Linked DNA regions of Macaca fascicularis. The protein of the gene in region 2 interacts with the protein of the main gene of each other region in a pairwise test. Links are inferred from orthologs where the notes say so. Each region holds a gene or a part of one and is shown on either strand. Other genes may lie near its edges.

The links.
Region 1: the proteins of HRAS (region 2) and PDE6D interact in a two-hybrid assay, tested with the Homo sapiens proteins (2 studies listed by BioGRID). The link is inferred for Macaca fascicularis from reciprocal best matches to the Homo sapiens genes HRAS and PDE6D.
Region 3: the proteins of HRAS (region 2) and RGL2 interact in binary tests that used the Homo sapiens proteins (3 or more experiments, as listed by UniProt). The link is inferred for Macaca fascicularis from reciprocal best matches to the Homo sapiens genes HRAS and RGL2.

Annotation. Positions count from the first base shown.
Region 1 is NC_088386.1:127,657,522-127,661,163, forward strand, and holds part of PDE6D (retinal rod rhodopsin-sensitive cGMP 3',5'-cyclic phosphodiesterase subunit delta), read right to left. Parts: intron 3,138-3,642; coding exon 3,012-3,137; intron 2,295-3,011; coding exon 2,189-2,294; intron 1-2,188. UniProt on the Homo sapiens protein: Promotes the release of prenylated target proteins from cellular membranes. Modulates the activity of prenylated or palmitoylated Ras family members by regulating their subcellular location.
Region 2 is NC_088388.1:433,585-437,326, forward strand, and holds the start of HRAS (GTPase HRas), read right to left. Parts: upstream 2,716-3,742; 5' UTR 2,299-2,715; exon of another isoform or gene 2,283-2,298; intron 687-2,282; exon of another isoform or gene 542-686; intron 1-541. UniProt on the Homo sapiens protein: Involved in the activation of Ras protein signal transduction. Ras proteins bind GDP/GTP and possess intrinsic GTPase activity.
Region 3 is NC_088378.1:138,404,306-138,408,047, reverse strand, and holds the start of RGL2 (ral guanine nucleotide dissociation stimulator-like 2), read right to left. Parts: upstream 2,632-3,742; 5' UTR 2,490-2,631; intron 2,271-2,489; 5' UTR 2,234-2,270; coding exon of another isoform or gene 2,149-2,233; coding exon 2,078-2,148; intron 1,628-2,077; exon of another isoform or gene 1,581-1,627; intron 994-1,580; coding exon 864-993; intron 766-863; coding exon 682-765; intron 434-681; coding exon 255-433; intron 122-254; coding exon 71-121; intron 1-70. UniProt on the Homo sapiens protein: Probable guanine nucleotide exchange factor. Putative effector of Ras and/or Rap. Associates with the GTP-bound form of Rap 1A and H-Ras in vitro.

The DNA.
Region 1 (3,642 bases), on a different chromosome or scaffold from region 2:
TGTGATCCGCCCGCCTCGGCCTCCCAAAGTGCTGGGATTACAGGCGTGAGCCACCGCGCCCGGCAAAAAAACTATTAAAAACTTAAAAAGGGGCTGGGCACGGTGGCTCATGCCTGTAATCTCAGCGCTTTGGGAGGCCAAGACGAGTGGATCACCTGAGGTCAGGAGCTCAAGACTAGCCTGGTCAACAAGACAAAACCCCGTCTCTACTAAAAAATACAAAAAATTAGCCGGGTATGGTGGTGGGTGCCAGTAATCCCAGTGACTTAGGAGGCTGAGGCAGGAGAATCACTTGAACCCAGGAGGCAGACGTTGCAGTGAGCCAATATTGTGCCACTGCACTCCAGCCTGGGCAACAGAGAGAGACTCTGTCTCAAAGAAAAAAAAAAAAAAACCTTAAAAAGTAGAGACAGGCATAGTGGCACATGCCTGTAGTCTCACCTACTTAGGAGGCTGAGGCAGGAAGATCATTTGAGCCCAGGAGCTGGAGTCCAGCCTGGGCAACATGGCAAGACCCTGGTTTTTTTTTTTTTTTTTTTTTTTTTTTTTTTTTTTTAAATAAAATAAAACCCAAAACCAAAACAAACAAAAAACCTAAAAGTAAATAACCTCAATTTTTAACAAATTCAATATGGCTTTCATAAAGGAACTGTTGAAAGAGATGATCCAATATTACACAATTATCTGTGGGACTAACTCTTTTTTTTTTTGAAACAGAGTCTTGCTCTGTTACCCAGGCTGGAATGCAGTGGCATGATCTTGGCTCACTGCAACCTCCACCTCCCTGATTCAAGCAATTCTCCTATCTCAGCCTCTTGAGTAGCTGGGATTACAGGTGTGTGCCACCATGCCCAGCTAATTTGGGACTAACTCTTTTTTTTTTTTTTTGAGACAGAGTCTCGCTCTGTCGCCCAGGCTGGAGTGCAGTGGCCGGATCTCGGCTCACTGCAAGCTCCGCCTCCCGGGTTCCCGCCATTCTCCTGGCTCAGCCTCCCGAGTAGCTGGGACTACAGGCGCCGCCACCTCGTCCGGCTAGTTTTTTGTATTTTTTAGTAGAGACGGGGTTTCACCGTGTTAGCCAAGATGGTCTCGATCTCCTGACCTCGTGATCCGCCCGTCTCAGCCTCCCAAAGTGCTGGGATTACAGGCTTGAACCACCGCGCCCGGCTGGGACTAACTCTTTAGAAGGTACTATTACTATAACACTTGAGAGACTAACACCTTTCCCACAGACAATGGGAGGTGGGAAGTTATTGACAGTGTTTTTGGACAAAGCACAAACAAACTGTTCTTTGAACAGGAACCAAAGCTATTAATATGGTAAGCTATTCACCAAAAAATTGTAACCAAGTATCCTTGAAAACAGAATTATTAATAGGACTTTGCCAGATTCTGTTAAAGGTGATCTAAACAAAATACAGAGATACTGGAAGTATGGTAGTCAGGAATAGGAGCAAATTAACATAGATTCGGTATATATTAAATGCCAGTCTCCTTCCATGCCATCGCATTTTATCTTCATTACACCTCTGTAAGAGAGAATTAATTTCTGTGTTTAGAGATGAAAGACTAAGGCTCAGAGAGATAAAGTGTATTAGTGCCCAAGATGACACAGGTAGTCAGTGTGAATCAGGAATTTAAATCTGGTCTAATCTAAAGTTTTTTTTTTTCTTTTTTTTTTTTTAATTATTCTTTCCACTCTATCATACTGTCTTTTTCATATGAAAAAGGTCAGGAACCTGGAAACCTAGACACCCTCGGATACTCTTTTTTTTTTTTTTTTTTTTTTTTTGAGACGGAGTCTCGCTCTGTCGCCCAGGCTGGAGTGCAGTGGCGCGATCTCGGCTCACTACAAGCTCCGCCTCCCGGGTTCACGCCATTCTCCTGCCTCAGCCTCCCGAGTAGCTGGGACTACAGGCGCCCACAACCGCGCCCGGCTAATTTTTTGTATTTTTAGTAGAGACGGGGTTTCACCGTGGTCTCGATCTCCTGACCTTGTGATCCGCCCGCCTCGGCCTCCCAAAGTGCTGGGATTACAGGCGTGAGCCACCGCGCCCGGCCCTCGGATACTCTTTTACTCTATTTCTCAACTGAGCTCTCTGCCCACTCAATGGCACCAGGAGTCCCACCTGCCTGGAATGCCTGTTTCTAGACACACTTCATAATTTCCTGAGACCTGCTCACTCACGTTAAGACGCTTGCTGGCATCATCTGGGACTCGGGTGCTGCCTCTATCAAGGACTGCCAGGTATTTGTGGAGTTAGGGATCACAAAGCCAAACTCGAAGAACCATTCTGAAGGAAGAAGGAAAAGCCGGGGTGAGCAGGTGCCCCAGTATAAAGTTTAAGGGCTCTTTGTCTCCCTCCTCTAGAGTGAGCCTCTTCCTACCCTGAGAACCACCGAAGGAAGCTATCAGCAACCTCTCAGACCAGAGGCATAAAAAAGACAGGGAAGGCTCCTCAGGTTGTCCTCTGAACTACACCAAAGCCTTGCTTCTCATGCTTTGAGGTCTAAAGGACTAGGACCAGTGACCAGGACACAACATAAGCAGCATTTTCTTAGAGGTAGGCTAGATGTGAACTATACATAGATACATAGCTCAATTCTCTTGGACTAGCTTGAAGGGGCTTATGTGCCCTCTTATACTGCATGGTGAGAATTCAATGCAGAGTGGCCAGTCAAATCTGTATGATACTGTATGTAGAGCACTGTACTAGGCCCTGCTCATAGCAGCTTCCTCCATGACCATATCACAATACAATGTCAGTGCCTAAACCAGGTACCACCATCCATGCTCCCAGTGTCAGAGACCTCAAAGCCCCTTGCAGTGGCCAGCTTTGTTTTGGTTTGTTTTCACTGGGGATTCACAGTCTTGCAGAGTGTAGGAATCCTACCACAAACTGAGTTGTAAAAGGAATGTTATCAAAGCACTGCTTTAGTTCACTGGGTATTGTTGCCTTTTGTCCTGGTCCCCCTAAGCCCTGATTTCAGGCATGCAGGCAGCAGAATACCTTCTAGGCATTGCCCTTTGAAGTAAATTTTTTGTTCCAGGCGGAATTTTTCCATTTGTTCTGTTGAAGAAAAATTGAGTTCTCGAGACACGGCCTTGCACTTGAGGATTTTCTTGGGAACACGGGCTGGTAAGAGAAAAACAAATGTTGAAGCCATTCTAAATGAAAACCACATGACTATGATGCTTCAAATTTCTGGGAGCTTCTTATAGCTGATTTAGAGAACACTTTATTACATTTTGGATAATGCTTTGGTAAGTGCACTACACTTTGTGTGGCTGAAAGCAGAGGACTCTAATTGGTCACTCATATCTGAAAAATATTAGATCTTCAAGGAACACCAGGTTTTGTGCATCTAAGGGCCTCATCTAGCTACTCTCATCAGGAAGGGGGCTGCACGGGTACCTTCTCTCTACTCTGTTCTGGTGATTTTAACCCCTTACTTCTTCTTTACTTTAGGGAGATAAAAACGCAAATTTTCTTTTGGAGAAAAAAGTTGAGATCTCAGTTTCTATCTTCGGGTATGTTCTAATGGTAAAATTTCAGCACAAAATGGGTTTTGGGAAGTGGGAGAAAGAAACATTAAGAAAGCAACTGGGTTGGGTGTGGTGGCTCACACCTGTAATCCCAG
Region 2 (3,742 bases):
GAACCGGGGGCATCTTTCAGCCACAGAAAGCTGGAAAAGACAGAGGGGCTCCTGGGAAGCAGGGGCTGAGCCACAGGAAGGGGCCGAGAGGCGGCGCGGGAGACCCGGAGAGGGGAAGGGCCCTGGGGCTGAGGCCCCCGGCCTCGTCCGCGACCTGTGATGCTGAATCGGGGGTGCCCGGGCGTGCCGTGGCCGCGGCCGCCTCCGCCCAGACGCGCCTGGTTATGAGGGCGCCGGGCCCGAGGCTCCCGGGGACGCCGGCGTGAGGACCGTGCCCAGAGCGAGGCCACGGGCGGGGCCCGGATTCCCGCAGGCCCCAGGGACTAAGGGGCCTCAGCCCGCCCCCGCCAGCCGCAGCCCCCGACGCCCGCTCACCTGTGCCTGGGGGCCCCGCCCGGCCCGGCCCGGCCCCACCCACCCACTACCGCCGCCGCAGCCGCTCACGCCCGCCGGTCCCGCGCCCCCGGCCCGCGCCGCGCGTATGGCTGCCGCCTGGGGGCGGGGAGGGCGCGCGGCCCGGCCGACCCCGGCCCGCACTCACCGCTCAGTGGCGCGACTGCCCCCGGGGCCGGGGCCGAGGCCAGGGGGGGGCGGGGGCGGGGGCGCGCGGTTCTCCCCGCGCATGGGCTCCGTCCGCGGCGGGTGCGGCTGGGGCTGCAGGCGCAGGGAGCGGGCGGCGGAGACTCGGCCGGGCTCGCGCACGCCCCACCCCGCGCCCGTCCGTCAGCCCTGCGCGACCTACCATTGGCCTCGCTACACCAGGCCCCGCCCCGCCCCGGTTGGCTGAGCGGCCCGTCTGTCAGGAGCCGCGGTCGGGCAGGGCTTCCGGGAGCAACGCGGGAGGCGGAGCCAGAAGGGCCGCGGCCTCGGGGGGTTGGGCTAGGCCGGCGAGCGGAGGCAAGCTCGGGGTTGCTCAAGGAGGGCGAGGGAGCAGGTGTCTGGGGGCCTGCGGCGGCATATCCGAGCAGGGCCGTGGACTCTCCCGGGAACAGGCCGGCGAGAGAACCCGACTCAGCGGCGCCCGTGCACTCGAGGCCCTCCCTGCGTCCGCAGCGCGGCGTCGCCCACCGCGGAGGTCCCGGGGCTCCGGCTGAGGAAAGGCTGGGATCCGTCGGGACCAAGGCGGGCCGCTCGGAGCTGGGGGCCCCCGGGTGGCCGCGGGGTCCGGTTGCCCGGCTCCCCTTCCGCGCAGGTGGAGTGGCCCCGCACCCGGACGGTGCGCACCCCGCCTCCTCCGCGCACCCCACCTACCACACGCACCCCAGCTCCCCTACTCCCACCTCAGCCCACCCCGAGGACGCCTTGCAGCTCCGGTGGGGTTTCGAGCGGCGGGCGCAGCCGTGCTCCCTGGGGCCAGGCGTGAGAACGCCCCCTCCACCACTTCTCTTACTTGGGCCTGCGTGGCAGGCGACCCTGCCCGCTCAGTCCCCCCAGACTTGAGGTTCCAACCATGCAGAAGCTCAGCGTGGTGCAGTTAAACGGTACCTACAGGTTGCCACAGGAGAGCGAAGTGCCCAGGGCTCACCCCAAGCACAAAGACCACATCCTAGCTCTTTCAAACCCCAAAAGACGTGTTTTTTTTTTTTTTTTTAACATTTTTTTAAATTGCAAAGGAATCAGAAATACATTCTCATTAAAAAGCAAAAGGGCCATCCTGGCTGACACGGTGAAACCCCGTCTCTACTAAAAAATACAAAAAACTAGCCGGGCGAGGTGGCGGGCGCCTGTAGTCCCAGCTACTTGGGAGGCTGAGGCAGGAGAATGGCGTGAACCCGGGAGGCGGAGCTTGCAGTGAGCTGAGATCCGGCCACTGCACTCCAGCCTGGGTGGCAGAGCGAGACTCCGTCTAAAAAAAAAAAAAAAAAAAAAAAAAAAAAAGCAAAAGGGGCCGGCCGCGGTGGCTCACGCCTATAATCCCAGCACTTTGGGAGGCCTAGGCCGGTGGATTACTTGAGGTCAGGAGTTCAAGACCGGCCTGGCCAACATGATGAAATCCCGTCTCTACTAAAAATGCAAAAAATTAGTCGGCTGCAGTGGCGCGAGCCTGTAGGCCCAACTACTCAGGAGGCTGAGGCAGGAGAATCGCTGGAACCCGGGTGGCGAATGTTGCGGTGAGCCGAGATCGCGCCACTGCACTCCGGCCTGGGTGACAGAGCGCAACTTCGTCTCAAAAAAAAGGCGTTTAAAAGAAAAAAAGGCGTTTTACGGTCAGGCAAACCCTGCCTCTGCCCAACCCAGTGCCCGCCCCGCCGCCACGCCCTCCTGCGCCGGTCGCCGCTGACCCGGGGCTCCACCCACGTGCGGTCCCGGGGGTCCCGCCTGCCGTCCATCCACCGCGCGGTCGCAGTCAGAGCCCGGCTCGGGGCGGACGCGCATGAACGCAGGTGAGAGGCGGCGACTGAACGGCGGGCGGCGGCGTGTCCCACGGGCCGGGCACTCGGGCGCGCTTCGGCATCCGGTCTGTGTTTCCTGGTCCTCCGGGGCGCTTGCCCCGGTGCTTCCTTTTGCTGTCGGCCTCACTTCCAATCGAAGGTCAGGGCGTCAGGCCTCGACCCCAGGGGCGACCCTTCCACGTGGGAAAGGTGGGCGGGAGCCTCCAGCAGAGACCGCCCTTGCCGGCCCCGCGTGGGAAGCGCCGGGATCGCGAGGAAACGCGACACGTGCACCGCGACGGCCCGGGCACGGAGCCGCAGGGAGCTGGCACCTGACGCGCCTGCGCCCACCCGACTTGGTGGCGCGTCACCTCCCCCGGGATCGCCCACCCAAGTGCCAACTCACGTGGCCCCGCCCTAGCGACCGTTGCTAAGGGGCGTGGCTCAGCCCCTCAGAACCCGAGCCTCCTGCGGCTTATAAATATTTGCGTATTCAAATGAGGACCCGCCCACGTTGCCATGGGACCCAGGCCGCAACCCCGCAGCCGGAAGAACAGCCTGGAGTAGGAGACAGCGCCTGGCGGCGGAGGGCGCCCAGGGCCGAGCTGCCAGGGCCGGACACCTGGGCTGAGCCCTCAGGTGAGAGCCGAGCGCACCCTTGGGGTGGGAGCCACAGGCCTCGCCGTATGCCTGGTGGCAGGAGGGAGCCTGCGCCGAGGCGAGGGCGCGGGGACTAAGCAGCACAGCCAACGGGGACCCAGTGGAGGCCCCGCACGTCAGATCTGGTCCCCTGGGGACCCTTGCCTCCACCACCCCCTGGCCCTGCACTGAAGGGGCTCCCTGTCAGGAGGCAGGAGGGGCCCCAAGCCTTGCCCCTGAGGGAGATGCAGAGGCAAGGACCCAGGGTGCTTGGAGTTCCAGGGTGGGGCTCAGCAGGGGAGCGGGCTCTGCCCTCCCAGCGTCCATGGTGAAGGGGCAAGGGCTGCAGGGGACCAGAGGTGATGAGCTACCCACCAGGGAATGGCACTAGCTGGGGTGTGGAGACAGAATTCCTCCAGTTTCCAATTTGGGGAGCATGGGGGCTCGCAGAGGGGACACAGGGTAGGAGCAGGACTGCGAAGTGTGCGGATGGGTTCAGGCCTGGGCGAGAACACCAGGAGCAGTGTCTGAGGTGGGAGTCCAGTGGGGGCTTGGGACTCCACAGCCTCCAACCCCTGGTCCTTGCACCCCTAGGCCTTGGGGCTCAGACCAGCCTGATACTCGGGCTCTTGGGCACAGAGGAGACAAGGGTGGCTGACTCAGCCCTTAGTGCCACCCATAGATGTCCTGGGGCTGCGCATGACCCGGCCAGCTCACGTACTCCATGAGGC
Region 3 (3,742 bases), on a different chromosome or scaffold from region 2:
CCAAGGGTGAGAGGTAAAGCTGCAGCCTAGGCAGAGTAGACTGTGAGATTAAGAAACAGGGGTCACTCACTCTGTTGTCCTCTCTAGTTCACCGGTAGGATGAGATTCAAGGGCTTCCAGCCTGAGGGGAAGAAGAGGATCTATCTGTCCATTTTCCCCAAACCCCCAGTGGCCTTAACTATTTTGGTGGGATGTTGGAACTTTAGGAAATCTGGACAGACACTCCACGACCCTGGGTCCCTTATGACTCTGACCTGTCAGCCATAAGTCCTAGCAAGGCAGGCGTCGAGGTGAAGGCCCGGTGGGTGGCCAGGAAGGCTGACATGAAAGTCCCATCAGTCCCTGATGTCCGGGTATCCAGTAGGTGTCTGACCAGGGCCTCCAGAGTGCCAGCTCGGAGCCGTCGGGAGGAACGCGGGGGAGGCATAGGGACCTGGAGGACACAAAGAGATGATCACCAACGCTTTCTCCCACTCTGCCCCTAGATTTCTGAGGACAATCCCAGACCCAGGAGATGTTCCAGCCTCATTTTTCTGATATTTAGAGAGGGCAAAAGTCTTGGCCTATGTCATACAGCGGAGTCCAGGACTCCAGAACTCCAACCTAGCACTCTGGCCAGAAAGTCAGCCAGAGGAAGCGAACTGAAGAGTCAGAGGTGAGAAGCTAAAGTCATGATCTCACCAAGGGATCAAGAGGTCGATATTGGCGGCTTGTGATGGTAAACACAGCACCATCCTCCTCCTCATCCCAGACGGACACAGGGGCCTGCAGGAGCAAGGAAGGGGAAGTCAGACAGTTCCATATCACCCCCCACTGCCCTCAGCCTTCACCCCAGGCCCTGCTTCTCCCTCTATACCCCTCACCTGTGGTGGCAGGGCATAGTACCAGCGAGTGCGAGGAAGGGTGGGGGGAGCTGGTGACCCCAGGTCTCCCCCACTGGGGCCCAGACAGCCCCACCCCAGTCGCCTCAGGGCCCCGGTGGAGTCGAAGGGGCTGTAGTGGAGGCGTGGATGGAGTACAGGAATCCTGATCCTGGAGACCCCCAAAGCCCTTTCCCCCCAGAGCTGAACCCACACACGACAGAGAAGCAGGGTACAAAGAGCAGGAGAGGGAAGCGAGAGGCAGCAAGCCAGAGGCAGAGACTAGGAGTAGCTGAAACCTCAGTTCAGGCACTGCCGCATGCCCCGCCCCTCCCGGCCAAGGACTAGACCAGCCCAGAGCTTTAGTCCTTCTCAGGCCCCCTTTCACACTGGTCCCTCGGGTAATGCCTCCACTATCTCAGCCCTAAGGGACCCCTGAAGGTAGCAGCTCCAATCCCAGTCCAGGAAGGAAAAGGGGAAGTGGGATGATGGGGGCTGGGGGGCGGTAGACTCAGAGAGTCACGTGGCCCCAGTCCCTCCCCCGACCGATCCCGAAAAACCAGCCTTGCCAGTCAACCTGCCCTCACTTAGGATCTGGACCTAGGAGTTCAGGGCCTCGGGGCCCCAAATCCAAATTCTGGCCCCTCCTGAGGCCTAAAATCCTGCTCCTGGCCACCACCATTAATCCCTAATGAAAACAGGTAACCACTCTCTACCCACCCTAGGATCATTCCTCCAGGTCCCAGAACCGTGGCTTCCCTGCCTCTACCCAGGATGGGGGGGGGGGGGTAAAGGGGAGGGAGGGAAGGAGGGGTCACGAAATCTGAGGGTTCCCTCCCCAATCCCAGAGTCAGAGGAGCTGGTTACTGTGGAAACAAACCCCTCCCCGCCAAACAAAAACAAGGAGGGAGACAGGGGGCAAGACAAGACTGCTCAGAGAAGTAGGCACACTCAGGCAGGCAGAGGCAGAGGGCCAGAGACCCGCAGGGACAGCCAGCCAGAAGTTCCAGGCAGGTTCCTGCGGGCAGGTCCTGAGTCACACTGACAGAGAACCACAGAGACGCCGGGACTCCCCGCAGCAGAGAAACGGGCCGACGCCCAGGGAGGCGCGAGAATAACTGAGGCAAGGAGGAGGAGATGTAGGGACCCAGAGACAAGAGAAAAGTGGAGACTTCAGAAATACATCCGACCCCTACCTCCCACCACCCGCGTCTCACCTCTTCTTCTTCCTCCTCCTCTTCCTCCTGCCCCCCGCCCACGACCAGGCCACCTGGGCCCCCACCCTCATCGGGGTCCCGGCTTCGGAAGCTGCTCAGTACGACTCCCCCTGGGGGGCTCGTGTCCAAAAGCAGCCGCAGGGGCCGCGGGAGCATGGCCGAGTGAATCAGCGGGGTCGGGCCATGGGGGCGCCTGGGGAGAGACGGGGTGGGGTGGGGGTGGAGAGTCAGGTGGGCGCGGGGGAGCCGGGCAGGGAAGGGACGTGGGTGGGTGTCAAGAAGACCGGAAGGGAATTCTGCAGGAAGGCTGGGGGAGGGAGGCAACAGAAGGGTGAAATAGGGTGGCCCTTGGTGCAGTTGGGGGAGGAGGGGGTCACGAGTACGGGGACGCGCAGGGTGCTCAGGCTCTGACCTGCTCGGGAGGGGTGGGGGCAGCGTGGGTCCTGGGCCGCTGTTGCCGTCGGTCTCCGGCCCCGGACCAAGTCCCCTCCCCGGCTTTTCCGTACCCCCTTGAACCCCTCCCGCTAGGCTCCCGGGCCCCTTCCGCCCTTTCCGCTCCCCCCCGCGTCCGCCCGCTCCGAGAGCAGGAGCCAAAAGGGGAAGGAAGTGAGGACAGGAGCCAGGGCCGCGGACTAGGGGAGCGCCGGACGCTCAGGGACCAGGACCCAGGCGCCCGAGTCCCCAGCTCCACTGTCCTCCGCCTCTACACTCGGGGATTCTGGAGACCACGTCGCTCCGCACTGAACTGGAATAAAGATTCCAATCTCCAGCCCCTGGGGGAAGGCAGGAGCAGAATTTGACATTCCCTTCCCCAACAATAACACGGCTAAAACTCCCGCGGGAAGCGTTTCAGGAGGAGAGAGAGCGGGTCACTCCATCCCCACGGGATTACGCTCCCCACCACAACCCACGAACTCCGCTGACCGAAATCCCGGCCGCGTTTTCCGAAGGGCCCTCGGTTCCCGCCCCCTCGGCAGGGGGCGGGGCAGGAAGCAGCCACATCCGGTTCCAGATTCGGCTCTTTGGGGCTTCCGGCGCCGAGGCAGGCATCCCTGTTGGCTCGGCGTCGCTTTGCGGTTGGAGTGCCCTCCGCTTGAGCGCATCTTATGCGCCAGTAGTGGCGCCCGACCCCGAACGGTGTCGACGGGGCGTTCTCTGAGGGGTTCAAGGTCACTGGAAGGGACCAGAGATGATTGGAATATTCATTTTGCTTGGAAGGGGGTTGGAATGAGAGGCCCGTTTGGAAGCACTGGAATACAACTTTATTCCCACACCATTAGACATGTTACCCCGTCGGTCTGGCCGACAGTCCTGACTCGGAGATCCCTGAGCTGCGCCGCCGCTTCCTTCGTCAATATCCAGCAGCTATTTGATGAGCGCCCTCCAGTGGGGCCTTACGTCCCTATGCCGGCGCGGGGTTACAGCAGTGGACAGACAGGCCGGTCCCTGTCCTCGAGGAGCCCATGATCCGCGGGGAGACAGGCATTTAACGACGACTCACATGATCACTTAAAATACAACTGTGGTGAACCGCACAAGAGGGACGCGCGGCGGTCTGCGGGGAATGACGAGGCCGACCTCGTCTGCGACCCAGGGAGGCCGAGGGTGGACCAGGCAAAGGGAACAGAGGGCTGGGAACTGGAGGTGGGCGGGAGGCGGTTGGTT